2 linked regions of the Lonchura striata genome follow. The main gene of each other region encodes a partner of the protein of the gene in region 2 in a complex. Links are inferred from orthologs where the notes say so. Each region holds a gene or a part of one and is shown on either strand. Other genes may lie near its edges. The genes, in order: NSMCE2 and NSMCE1.

What was found.
Region 1: NSMCE1 (region 2) and NSMCE2 share a complex: the UniProt entries of both Homo sapiens proteins name them as parts of the SMC5-SMC6 complex. The link is inferred for Lonchura striata from reciprocal best matches to the Homo sapiens genes NSMCE1 and NSMCE2.

Annotation. Positions count from the first base shown.
Region 1 is NC_134603.1:11,865,382-11,872,440, reverse strand, and holds the start of NSMCE2 (E3 SUMO-protein ligase NSE2), read left to right. Parts: upstream 1-2,652; 5' UTR 2,653-2,667; coding exon 2,668-2,775; intron 2,776-6,307; coding exon 6,308-6,455; intron 6,456-7,059. Other genes in the region: WASHC5 (WASH complex subunit 5), read right to left, coding at 1,295-1,480. UniProt on the Homo sapiens protein: E3 SUMO-protein ligase component of the SMC5-SMC6 complex, a complex involved in DNA double-strand break repair by homologous recombination. Is not be required for the stability of the complex.
Region 2 is NC_134618.1:17,483,262-17,490,320, forward strand, and holds the start of NSMCE1 (non-structural maintenance of chromosomes element 1 homolog), read right to left. Parts: upstream 3,741-7,059; 5' UTR 3,635-3,740; exon of another isoform or gene 3,583-3,634; intron 3,462-3,582; exon of another isoform or gene 2,697-3,461; intron 2,617-2,696; 5' UTR 2,575-2,616; coding exon 2,457-2,574; intron 263-2,456; coding exon 141-262; intron 1-140. UniProt on the Homo sapiens protein: RING-type zinc finger-containing E3 ubiquitin ligase that assembles with melanoma antigen protein (MAGE) to catalyze the direct transfer of ubiquitin from E2 ubiquitin-conjugating enzyme to a specific substrate.

The sequences.
Region 1 (7,059 bases), on a different chromosome or scaffold from region 2:
ACTTTTCTAGCCCTTTACCACTGTCGTATTTCTCATAAGCACCACGCAGTATTAGCATCACCAACTAAAGGAAAATAATGCTAAAGTTTAATTGGAAGTACTATTAAAATGCAATTGAAAATATCCAGCTGACAATTTGAGTTTTTAAAAATACTCTTTGCTTCTCTTTCTGTGCAAAATATCTACATAAAACAAAGGATAAAAACAGGTGCCAAACTGCCTATGAAGTTAAAATGGACAAAGTAACTAGTCTCAACTTTTCAAATCTCAAATCTTTCCTCAGAAGTAATTCTAAGAATTGTGAATACAGAAGGGGTGCATTTGCAGTAAAAATATCTGCAAATTCTCTAATCTTTGCTTTAACAGTATGACTTCTATGGATTTATTTGATTTTAATGATGAAAAACAGCACACTTATGCTTTCTTAACATTCAAATTTACTGAGGCTTTAAGGATTACTGTATTTCTTACCAATTACAGCTATCTGCTTTTAGACTTTTAAGTAATTTGTGCAAAAAAAAAAAAAAAAAATTCTACCAAACACCTAGATCTAAAGGTAACTGTGAAATCATTTGTGCTCTGGATTTTCAGTATCCAAACCTCATGGTGCCTGAAATTTACAACTCCTACTACAATCAAATTGACTTAAAAGTGCCTCCCTTGCTTTATTATTAACATTTCTTGTATTGGACAGTCCAAATAAAGTCAGATTAGACAGTCTCTGTTGTTCCTTCTTAATCATGGTGGAAAACGACAGAGGGAATTTTGTATTAAAAGCTTAATTCTGAAAGAGAAATAAGGGCTTTCCATGGACACTTCTCCTTGACTTATTTATTTATTTATTCAGTGCATGTGACAAGTCCAGAGGAAGAACAATCACAGCACTGTCAGACAGGAAAGCAGAAAGCAGTTTTCATGGCTGCAAAGAATAAGCTACAGATTAACAGAAGAAAGATGGGCATGCTGCCCACGGCACTGCTCTGAAGGGAAACAAACAACCATGCAGCCTCAGAACCTGCTGGAGGAAGTTTAATTTAGTGGTCCTGCAGGAATTACTACCACTACCACTACTACCACTACTACTAGTGCCACTACTACTACCTCCCCAGAATCCAAGACTCATGTCTTATATAATTGATATCTATCAAAATTCACAGCCAGATGACACATCAAACATTTTGGAAGATGTAATAGTAATAAACACAATAGTCAGGAATGGCTGTATCACAAGCTAAAACATCCTCATGTTGGACAGCAATGCTTTAAGGAGAAGTTTAACAATAAAAGGATTTACCTTGAAATAACTGAAATCAAATATGATATCTCCATACTTCTGCTGATCAGCCTTGTCCTTTAGTCTGAAAACACCAGGAATAAATTCGGAAAGTCTCAGAAGTTCTGCAATGATGGCATTTCCACAGGAAACAATCCGAAGAATTGCCTGACCACAGAGATTGTTTTCAGCCAGAAAATCCACCATTGTGGAGCTCAGTGTGACAGAGCAGCAGAAGTCCTGCAGTCTGATTCTGATCCTTACTCTTTAGGTTACTGGAAGCAGAAAGCCTGATGAAGAGACCAGCCACGCCATTAATAACCTGTAAAAACAAACCCACACACATCCAGCGTGGTTTATATTCATGTTTCTGATAATTTAATTTGTGGATATTTAAGCATACTCTCCAATCTTTCAAATTATGAAATCTAAATTATCCACAGCTTTTGAAATGAAAAAATGCACAGAATTCATTTTCAGCACGTACACTTAGTTTGAGAAGTGAACTGTTTGAGCAGGCAGGGGAAGTGTGATCTTTTGAAGAACAGTTGAAGAACACTATTAAAAAATGAAACAGTCACAAATAGTGAAGCAATTATGACCAGGCGAGGAGATTGGGCCCAAGGAAAGCAAAGTCACTTCACAAAATGTGTTTTTAAGATTCACTTTAAAAAGTCAACCGAAGTGATCATAAGGGCTTTAGCAATAAGGAAAACTTTCATAGCAAATGGAAATGACAGAGCTCCGTTCATTATTTATTGCTAAAGGACGAGCTTCCATGCTGTGCTTGCATTTCCTGCTCAGTTTTACTCGTTCACGCGTCTCCTGCGGGACACGGCGTGCAGCGCCAAAAATAAGCGTCTGTGCTTCAAAAACACCTATGGAAAATTATGACCAGGCTTGACTTTTCACCAAACACTTTCTGGAGCATTACGATAATTTGACAGTGCGCTGTCCCAAGGCAGTTCTGACCCAGAAGGAGCGGCCGGAGCCCCCCCAGGTGCCCAGTGCCGCCGCAGGCTGCGCTCCGCAGGGCGCACAGCGGCTCCAGGGCGGCAGCGGCCGGACGGGCTCCGAACCCGCTCCCGTCCCGTTCTGTCCCGTCCCGTCCCGTTCTGTCCCGTCCCGTCCCGTTCTGTCCCGTCCCGTCCCGTTCTGTCCCGTCCCGTCCCGTCCCGCTCCGCCACCGCCGAACTCACAGTCTGCGCTCAGGCGGCCCCGCTCCCTCGGCGGCTCCCGCCGGCACCCACCCCGCCCGCCCCGCCCGGGAGCGCCAGCGGGCAGGGACGGCTGCGGGCTCAGGAGGATGGAGGGAGGGTGGGAAGGACGGGAGGGAGGCGGCGGCGCTCCCTGTGTCGTAGCCGAGCCCTCCCGTCACATGACGGCGCCGGCTGATGAGGCGGTTCCGCCCGCCCCGGTGCCGGCGCTGCCCGCCTGCGGTTGCTGCGGGAGGCGGCGCGGGGCCGCGCCGGGACCGCTGCGCTGCCGGGCTGCGGGACGAGGTGAGCAGCGCCGCCGCCGAGGGGGGCTGCCCCGCCGGCCCCGTCCCCTCCGCGGGCTCGGGCAGCGCTCCGGGGCGGCGGCGGGCGGGTGCGGGGCCGTGTGTCCGTGTGGGACTGCCCGGCCTGCCCTGGCCGGCGGCCGGCCCTGGCCGGGGAGGCGGCCAGAGGCCCTGGGAGCCGGAGCCCTGCTCGGCGAGCTTGCTCCCCGCCCGGCCGTCTCCCTGTGGGCGCTCATCACCGAGTGTGCCCGGGCTGGACACTGATCCTGCTGCTCGGAGAGCACTTGGCACCTGTGGAGCTGCTGTTACAGAAGCAAATAATACTTTTTTCTTACCTCTGGTTCATACTCGTTGAAGAATTCTATAGAATACTATATAATAATAGAAATTGAGACATTGAAGAATAGAAAGTTTAGGTAATTTCCTCAAATATTTAAAATAGCGAACGGAATAGAAACTGTAGGGTTATCTTGTTCTTTATCCTGTCTGGACCATTTCATCACTTCCTGAAAGAAAAAAAAAGTGTCCTCGATAGTCTCCCATTCATCACGGAGTTTGCTGGTTGTGTTTTCCAGAAGTGAAGGGGCTGGAGGTTGCACATGATAAGTGCTTTGATGCGCCCACTGAAGACCTTCCTGCCGAAAAGAGTGCGGTAGAAACACTGCAGTGAAACCAGTTACAGAGAGGAATGTGCCCCTCCCTTGAAAGGTAGAATGGACAGCTCCACTGAGCTGAGGAATTCACTTAGTTCAAGAGTGAAATCTTTGCCTTGGGATCTGTAGGAGACTTGAGGAACAGTTGACCGGCTCAAAAGAGCCAGCTGGGAAGTGGTGGGGGTACAGGATCTGTAAGCCCTGAAGTGGCAGAGCACAGAAGATATAAGCAAAGCAACACGTGTGCCAAACATGCTCTGCTGCCAGGGGTTTAGAAGTTGCTGAGACAATGCTGGATCCTGGGGTGATGGCCATTTACTTTTCTCTCCCCATTTTTTTTTTTTCTTTCTTTCTCTGGTTTTCTGGCATACTCTTCTCAAAATATGTAAGTCAGACTGGAAACTTCCAGTTTCTTCTTGTGTCTGGAGAAGTTAAAAGTTCGCTGAGCTAAAGTTTGGGAAGTACTTGATTTTTGTCTGGATGTTTTAAAATTTGCCAAGTACCCTATTCTACTTGAACGTTCCAAAGTTTGGAAATAAAAGTTGTTATTGAGTCTCCTGGTAATTTGGTTGTTTTTCCCATGCACTGCCCAGGGTATATCCCAATGCCTTCCTCTGAACCCATCAAGTAGGCTGGGGCATTATAGGATTGTAACAAGTTTCTAAGAAAAATAGCCTTTTATTAAAAAAAAAAAAAAAAAAAAAAAAAAAAAAAAAGGAAAATTAATCTAAAAGAAGTTACTTTCCAAAAGACAGATTGAGATTAACCTACCATGCAATGATATGATTTAATGTCATAACCATAACTTCTGCTCCTGTGTAATTTGCTCATGAGAACAAAGAGCCTTTTTAACTTTTCACTGTTGTTTGTATCTTTTTTTCAGATTCCTGCTTTCACAGTGCATATCTGTGAAATTTCCAAAAGAACAGCAGGTTTTCTCAGTGAGATTTGCCAAGTTCAAGAAGGGAATTAGGCTCTCTTTGTTAACTTTGATACACAAAATGGGCTCAGAAAGATAAAGCTGCTAACATGATTTTATGTGACTATTCCATAGTGTACGTTTGGATCACAGAGGTTCTATACAAACAGTCTTGCTAAGATGGCAAACAAGTACCTTAAAAAAAAGTTAAATAATATACTAGCTGAAGGAATTTGTTATTAAATCTTCAAGAGCATCCTTTTTCTTTACTTTCAGGGAGTTCTATAAGGAACCTTTTCCTTGTCTTCTGTTGTCAGTTTGACAGCCTCTAAAGACCTCTAATGATATCAGTCACAGTCTTCTGTCAGGAAGAGCATGAGCTGACATAACAAGAGCTGTTGAAGCCTGCTGCATCGGTGGAAAGATGCACCTTTAGAAGGGGATAGAGAGGAATAAAAATTTCCATGTAATTAAGAAGTTAAATTTGTTGTGAGGTTGAACTGTTGTTAAAATGTTGCTGGAAGCACATGACCTAAAGATGGTGTACTAAAAGATAGTATTGACTGGCCAAGCACATTTTATAAATGTAAAAAAGGAAAATGATTGGAAATAAACATTAAGAGACAGCAGGTCTCAGTCTGTATTGTGAGGAATATGGCAATGTTCAGGTTAGGGTGAGCACAAGGTGTAGTTCTGGAGTCTCAGGGAAAGCAGTGGAGAGAGATACAGCTTAGGTATACAAAGCTTGGGAAAAGCACTATACTTTCTGTTAACATGTTTTCCAGATTGCTGTTGGATTATAGCCTATTAAAGGCTGTTATTGATAGAACAACTCTTCCCCCTCTGGTATACCCCAAATTTGTTTGTGGATTCTACTCTCTATCTCCCCCAATGGCATCTCAATATAGTCCTTGAACATACTAGTTATTCTTTACATGGAAAAATGCAATACTTCTGTCTATCTAAGAGTTCTGCTTTGCTGTATCTATTTTTCTTTTTTTTATTTCTTTTTTTTTTTTTTTTGGTGTATCTAAAGCTGATGCAAAATTTTTCTAGTCTGCAACTTGAAGTATAAAATTCTGCATACCAGGTTCATGTTACTCATGGTAGCTACATGTCTGAGCGGGTTATGGCAAAGGATGAAGAAGGAAGAGAAGAAAATGAGGATTTTTGAGAAGAAACCAATGGATGTGAGCAGTGTGGATAGGCACAGCATAGGCAAAAAGACTTGAAGGTTCTAATAATGACAGAGCAGCTAATCCCCACAAGGGTGTAGGCTCTGGGTGTGTATTGCAGATCCAGAGGGTGGTAAAGAAGATAAACAATGGTACCTGTGTGGCTTTATTTTGTGGTAATGGAAGATGGGTACCAAAAGTTTGTAGCATCTTTGGCAGAAGTAGGCAGCATTTTTAAGGTGGGCTTTTATTTGAAAATTATGCTAGATGTTTTACTCTTAAGTACGTTCTTAGTAGAGTGACAATTTGTTAGATTATTTTTTCCAAAGGTCAACTGCTGATGAAACTAAATTGAATGTGAGAAATTGTATTTCTTCCTAGCCTAATTGATTATATGGCTAGATAACCCAGACAAGTTTTTGGGCATATGGGCTTTTTTGGATCTTCTTTTGGATCTGAAATAGAGCAGTAGTTTTCAAGCAGACATAATTGTGGACTTTGAACTTCACTGTGGTTTAGCAATAGAAATGAGCAGAGGAAAACTCTGAGTTGCTTGTAGTGGTGTAGTTTTGCTTAATACTGAATAGGAGGTGAATTGAAAACCTGCAATGAATTTCACTGAAATTATCAACATCTTGGGAGCTAAGTTTTCATCCCTGCTCCCTAATGCTTCAGTGATTCTGTCGACAGTGCTTTATGTTTTAGCTATCTATTAGAACTTACGTTTTCTCTCCCAAATTCTTTGTGTGCAGACTGCTTTTAATTTGTTCTTCCTGTTATTTATAGAGTAACAATTTCAAGATGTCAGATGGTCCAAGAGTCTCGTTCAATGCAATAGATTCTGCTCTTTCTTCTTTGAAAAACTGCCAGACCTTCATCAAGTCTGGAATGGATGTGACTACTCAGGTTGCCCTTGACCTTGTGGAAAGTTTCAGTAAGTATATTCTCTCTTGTATTGCATCCTGAATCTGACAGATTAGTCCCAGCCCTATGTATTTTGACTTAATTACTGTTAATATCAATCTTTATTATAGCTCTTCTGGCTTGGGCAGGATGTTTTCATTACAATCATTTCACTTAAATGAAAGATTTCATTTAAAAGATAAATTCAGTGAAAATGTAAATACCCGGCAAATGTTGTCCTTGCTTTTGTGACAGCCAAGACTAATTGTGTTCCAGTGATTGTTACCTTACAGCTTTGTAGAAACTTTAAAATTACTGAATGAGATGGAGAACACCCCTCAAGTTGCTGAATAAAATGAGTTTTCAGTATCATACTACTTCTTTGTGTGTGTTTTATTTGACATTCAGGGCAAAATATATTAAAATAATGCTAAAGATGTTGAATACAAAGCTTGAGACACCTGTTAGGAGATGCAGTTTTTTAAAATGCTGTCTCTCCTGAAAATTAGGCCTTTTTTAGGTTGCTTCAATTTGGACATTTCCAAAGTGGGGTACTTTAAATCTCTGATTACTGTCAGCAGTCTTGTCATTACTATTTCACTTTCAATAAAAGGAGCACTGCAAAGCTACTTTTC
Region 2 (7,059 bases):
TATGCCAAGTAACTCCAACACTGCTGTCATCCTTGCTGCCATGTCCTATTCCCATACACCTGGGCTGTGACAGTTTATCCTCCCAGCAGCTCCTGCAGCCACTGCCAGCCCCATGTGAACACAGCACAGCAGGTACCTACTACAGCATAATGTGCTCTCCCATCATCTTCTGATATTCCTTTCCGGATCTGCATAAACAAAGGCTGCAGGTGGCTGTTAATAGTGCTGATGAAATCGTCCAGTTTATCGTGTGCATAGTAAACTGAAAATGAATGAACAAAGTCATACAGAGAAAAAACATACAGAGAAAAGTCAAACAACTACACACACATCAGGCAGATCTTTTTATGTGAAGCATTTTTTTCCCAGGTAAGAGTGCTAAAACTGAGGCAGAATTCAAACATGAATTCAAACTGTTCTATTTAGCAGACATATCATTTCCTTGCGCTGCTGTCTCGTGGCCTTCAGAGATGCTCAGCTCCTTAAAAATCAGTTGACAGAGTGCAGAAAGTCTGCCTTGTTGCAGGGAAGCCATAGCACTAATTCAGTAATTACAGTGACCTGAACTAAGCTGAACTGAAAATAAAATATGATTGGGAAAAATATTATGCACAATAGAAAAATACACTGACTTGAATTCCTTTATACACAAGGGATTTCTTGTTTCTGTATGCTCTGTTTCACAAATTAATGGCACATAAGTGCTCAAATTACATATCAGAAAACCTAAAATTCTAGTGTTGTAGAAACACAAGAAATATCTTGAGTAGTTTTCTACAAATCAAGCAAATACTAGCAGCAGTTTTATAATAGACATAATTAGAATGGACTTTCAGTCATTCTATGGAAGAGTATACAATGGTTTATGCCTGCACACCACCAGCACAACCCTCACATCTGCCCAAAACAAGACTTTGTCAGTGGCAACACTCCTGCTTGCCTTCATCAGGCTAAAATAAACTCCAGAGCTAAGTAATGTTACAGCAGGCCCCTGGCCACGTAATAAGTTACACAGACTCCATGCATTTACAGAAGGCTGATGGTTTCTTTATCAAGAAACCTATTGCTTTTTTGATACTATAGTTCACTACAGGTAGACCTAATTGGCCCTCTAATTAAAACACCATCACTACTGGCTAATTAAGAAACCACCCTTTGGTAAATAAATCTCCACAACACATTCCACATACTCACAATACCAGGTGCAGCAAGTTAAGATAAGAATTGTTTCTCATTCTTTTCTCTGATCTTATCACAGCCTTTCCCAGGCATCATTCTGGGAAAGTTGCCTGTTGCTCTCTGTGATCAGAGAGCTGCTGCCACAAAGTAACAGCTCATAATTTTAGATAAATGATTCATGTCTTAAAAATCCAACCAGTTATCATGAAATTAATCCTGTTCTCAGTCAGAGGAGTCCCTCGCTCATGTAAGAGCACTGGGGCAAGGTCTCACTCCCAAACTGCACAGCACTCATAGGATGCTCCTCTCAGGAGTTCCTGATTCTCATATACAAGATTCCTTCAGTGAACAAAGTCAACGAACAGCAAGAACATTACTAAAGTAAGTACAAAATTAAGCATAATTTTACCACCTGCTTGGCCCCTGTCAGCAGGAAACACTGCACACAGCAGCCAGGTAGCTTTAGTGAGAGAGGGTAAGAGATGAAAGGTACCAGAATACTCTTTTGTACAACAGTTTTAACACTTTAATGTTACATTTTAATGTTAAGTGGCTGCTTGAGTAGATCTTATGTGGAAAAAAAAGGGATAAATATTCTCCATAAAAAATGGACAGGGGTTAGAGAACACCCGAAGTTACACTTCACAATTTTAGCATTTAAGAAGTAGGTCAAGTTACAGTTCCTGACTCAGGAGATGTACAAATAGACTACTTCATTCTGACCTTACATCTTTGGGTACAAATTCACAGAAAATCAGAAGAGTCCCTGCAGAGTGAGTAGACATGGCACAGGGACACTCCTAAGCCTGGTAGGAACACAGCTTCCAGGACTTGGAATGGACAATACAGTGCAGGTGAGATGGGAAAAAAAGCACAGCAATTCAGCAGGAAACCTCATCTCATCCTCACAGAAATGTTTTTGCAGCAGTCACTTCTCCCACAACACGGGGGAGAAATAACTGAAGTGCATTTACATAAAAGCATTCACTATAGTGAAGTATATCCAGTGTCAAAAATTATTTTTTGAAAATCATTTATATGTATAACCTATAAACAACAACCTTGATAAAATAAGAAGTACTATATACAAATCTGGCCTGATTAGAAATTAGTTTGCTTGTTGCTATATTATTTTATCTTTCAGGAAAGAAAGGGAAGACTCATATCTTTACAGTTCTTAAACTTTTTTTAGCTGGTGCATGCCCTTCAGAAATCAAATTGTTTTCAAGATGCACCAGGAAAAAATCCCAGTTCTTTCATCACTAAGACAGACACACCTTTGTCAGTTTCACAGCAGTGCTGGTGTAATTTTTTGGCCTCTGATCCTTCTGTTATCCCATTAGACATCAGAGCCTGCAAGAACCGTCGATGAGCATTGGTCATCTGAGCTGCCATCACAGTGTTTCACCAGGCTTCAAGTGCTGCAGGAGGTTTAAGCTGGAATTAATGCACATGTTAATGCAAATTGAGAATACAACAGTCCAAGTATACACAAGATTTCAATTAAAATCTATTACATTGAATGAGGGCAAAAAAAAGCAGATCCCAAGGTTGTCCTCAGAATGCAGAGGGTGACCAGCTCTGAGGTTCTGGAAGGGTGGAAGAGATGAAGTCCAACTAGTTTTAGCTCCAGAAAAAACAACATAGGCATTGTGTCGTTGTCACCCAAAATCGAGAATAAAACTTCTTCTTAAGACCAATGTAGTATTAACAAGCAAGGAATACTCTACTGCAGCACTGGATACACAGGGGAATGACTGCTGCTTAACGTGCATAATTGGCTCAAGGTTATACACACAGAAGCCGCTTGAGTCTGCACAGTTAGTCTCAGACGGTGCTCCTGGAGGGTCTTTAGGCACCCCTGGTGGTCACTGAGCCTCTAAACTTCGACCTCGATCTTCTCTATGCGGCGCGGTTTTCATCGAAGCTGCTCAGCATGTTGCTGAGCGAACTGTATCGGGCCGCTTTGACTCGCCAGGAACTGGAGCAGGAGAGCGGCCCGCGGCCCACTCCCCGCTACAACGCCCCAGTAACCTTACACTCACTCCCCAGCGGGATTTGCAAACCTGAAAAGAACAGCGCTGGGTGACAAACACAACACCGCCTGTCATTCCCCCTTAGACAAAGCTCCTGCTCCCCACACAGCCTGATCTGAGCACAGTCAGTCAGAGCGGGTGACTTTGCACAGAAAAACAATCCTCTACAGGTTTCGAAGAACGCCTGAAGTACTTAAAGGCAGCTCAGGAAATTCCCTGACCGCTGCACCGGCCGACTGCCCGCTTCTGGCTGAGCTCTGACCTCGCCGCTTCACGGCCCACGCGGCCTCGGCCCAGCCGCAGCCCACGGAGGCAGTGCCACGGAAAGCCGCCCGGCCCGCTGGCCCGCGGCCCCACCGGGACCCACCGGGGCTCTCCGGGGCTCCCACCGCAGTGCCACCGCTCAGCGACCCCCGCACCTGCCCACGCCCGCCGGCTCAGCGACGGCTGCGCGCGCCCCGCGCCGGGCCCGCCCGCGCCGGACGGAAGGACGGGCGGCGTGTGGGGGCGGAAGGCGGAAGGCCCCGCCCCGCCCCGCCCCGCGCCGCCCCGCGCCGGCCCCGGGCCCGCCCCGGGCCCGCCCCGCCCCGCCCCGGGCCCGCTCCGCCCCGCCCCGCCCCGCCCCGGCCCGGCCCCGCCCCGCCCCGCCCCGGGCCCGCCCCGCCCCGCCCCGGGCCCGCTCCGCCCCGCCCCGGCCCGGCCCGCCCCGCCCCGCCCCGCCCTCACCCGACGGAAGGACGGGCGGCGTGTGGGGGCGGAAGGCGGCGGGCCGCGCCCCGCGCAGCGCGGAGTCCGGGGTCCCGAGTGCCCAGGTTCCCAGCGGGGGCCGGTAGACACAAGGTACGTCCTGCGGCCCCTTCGTCCTGGTGTCAGGACCGGCTCCTTCTCGTTACTTGCGCTTGGCGTGCGTTTGTGTGGTCTGTGTTTTCCTCCGCGCCGGTTCTGGGAAGGGCGGAAGGTCTGTGCTCTCTCCGGAGCTGCCGGCCGTATGTCCCTGGCCCCGTCCCGTGCGGCGGCTCCGGCTGGAACCCGCGGCCAGAATCGCTTCTCTTTCCTTGCGGCTGTTAAACGCGAGTTTTACAGAGTTTTACGCAGAAAGGTGTAGTTCTCCGAAGCGCTGTTCCTGCCGGACGTGCTGCCCGTGGGCGCAGCAGCCGCGCATGTCCCGGGCCCGCGTTGGCGAGCGGAGCCGCTCCCGGCCGGGCCAGCCCGGGCTCGGGCTGCGCCCCCGTGAGCCCTGCGGAGCTTCGGGCCGGTTCTTGCTGAGCACCCGGAACGGAGCGGTTTTTCCTCACAAGGCATTACGCTCTGTACGGATTTCTTGTCAAGGTTTGATGCAGAATCTATTGGTGAAACTTCTGCTTTGCTGTGTATCGCTTGTCTCGTTTTATTCAGCGTCTATAGTCAGTGATTTAAACTCTATAGAGAGTAAGACAAGTTGCGCATCAGTTTTAAAAAGAGGCAGTTTTAAACAGGGAATGATGCTTCATCTGTACACTTGCAGCAACGGTGCATTAAGCACTCTTGTTTAATATGACCTCTTGATTTGGGCAGGAGTTACTCTTTGCACATAACAATTTTGCAGATTATAGCTGTTAATGGAATGTGACCCTAATTTCCTTAGAAGACCAGACCAAAAGTTACTACCGTTTTTCTTGATAGTGAATATTTCTAATAATATAGTATTTTTTTCAAGAAACAGAAAGGTTAAGTGATCAAAGTATGTAGCTTGTGCCAGTGGCTATGTAGATCTGCTTCTAACACCAACAGAGATTTCTTTCCTAGTTTGAGGAAGTGACTTATATCTTTACAATTTACTTTTCTCAAATTTATCAGAGTTACTAGGTTGGCTGCAATTTTAGGATTGTCTATTTGTGTTACATACTTTTTTTTAAGATTGGTATTTCATTGTCTGGTATAATGAAAAACTTAAGAGGTAACAGGCAGAAGAGCTGTGGGTATTTTAAAACTTTCTCCTTTTGCAGTTTTATTAAAGTTCTGGCTTAATTCCATTTTCATCCACATGTGCAGATCCATTTTTCCATGAGAAGATGGTTTTGGTCTGCCATCTGCTTAACATGCTTACGTGGTTTAGGATTCTTCGCCAAAATTCTAAGTGTTCCAAGAGTTTCTTGGAACGCCAGTCATGTGGCAATATTACCTAACAGTGGAAAGTAAATGCTTTCTCTCTTGAGAATTCCAGGAAAAAGGGAAATGAAGGATTTTGTTTTGAATGCCAGAGCAGTTGGCCCTTTTCTTCTGAGCAACAGCAAAGGTGCTTGTGTTCTTTAAAAAAAAAAATGTATTACTGTGCTTAGCCACATTTCATGTCTTCTCAGAATATGAAAAAAATTCAGCTCTTGAGTAATAGTTTTCTCAAGCTCTTATGAGAAATTTGTCTTTCAAGTTTGTTCTTTATTACTAGATGAGCAGTAGCTGCCCCAGAGAAGGTCACAGAAGAGTTGCCATTTTGATCTTCTATTTTGACTAACAATGTCTGTGACATTCACATTCTCTGGACAGAGACATAATTCTGTCTCTCAGGAGAAGCACAGAGAGAAGAGAAAACAATCATCTCTGCTCCTTTGTTTTCCCCATGTGGAATATGGTATGGAGATCTTTACCTGCAGTGATTGCTGGGTTGGATTCTGGTGAAAGTTGTTTGGGTTCAGTGACCAATGGGATCCAGCTGTGGCTCTCAGCAGAGAGTCACAAGTTTGTAGTTAAATAGGTGAGTAAAAAATAAGTATGTAGAATAGTATAGTATCTCTTTAAATTGTGTATTAATGTAATATATATAGTTTTAATAAAGCTATCCTTCAGCCTTCTGATCTGGAGCCAGACATCATCATTTCTTCCCTGAGTCAGGGTCCGCTACATTTTTACTATAAATGTCCTTATCCCTTAACTTCTAAGATGGATATTTTCAGACAGACTGACTCACCTCTGTCAGACATGTGTAATGTAATTCTGCTGCATGGTTGGTTTGGGGAAGAGAGTATTGAACCACCATCCACAAATACCTTTCAGTGGTCTTTTCTACTTCATAATCTGACCAATCTTATGCAGAACACCATTCACCTGCTGAAGGAGTCTTCTCTCCTCTCCTTGAAATAAAAACTAGTGTACTACCTGGGAACCCTACAGGTATAAACAGAACAGCTGAAACTTGCAGGCAGCAAGAATACTCTGTCCAGATATGAAAGTTAGAAAATTCCAAAAGCATGAGAGGAAGGAACCAAAGGGTTGTGTCGCTGCTGAACAAATTTTATCCCTCTTTATACTGAAAGTAAAGCCAAAAGCATATTAGCATGACTTCACTTACAAATTTACCAGACTTTTAAATGCATCATATCCATTTGTAGTGATATGAAAGCCGGTAGCCTTGTCTTACACATTAAGTAACTATATTGGTAAAACATCTTGGGGACACTTGCTATTTTTAAGTCTGAAATTAATTATTTCATCTGTTTTCAATTTACCTAGACAGTTTTGCTATGCTTAGGGACATAAAAGCTGCATTATTTTCCTTCTCCAAAGTTGTTCTGGTTATATCATGATTAGGTATGTGTTTTACAACTTTTAAATAATTAATATTTTAATGAATCTGCAATCTTTTGGAGCAGTGCTCAGAGTTCTTTGCTAAAATTTCTTTTTAAAGAGGTGATACTCAGATTATCAAGGTACTGGTGATAAGACTTGGAGAAAACATTTTAGATTAAACACTTCATTCATAAATTCTTTTACTTATCTGAGTGGAATCACAGGGCTTTGGTGACAATGTCACTGATTTTGGTCTAGTGCTTGCCCTTTTTTGCCCTTTACATATTAGCAACCTTTCTTT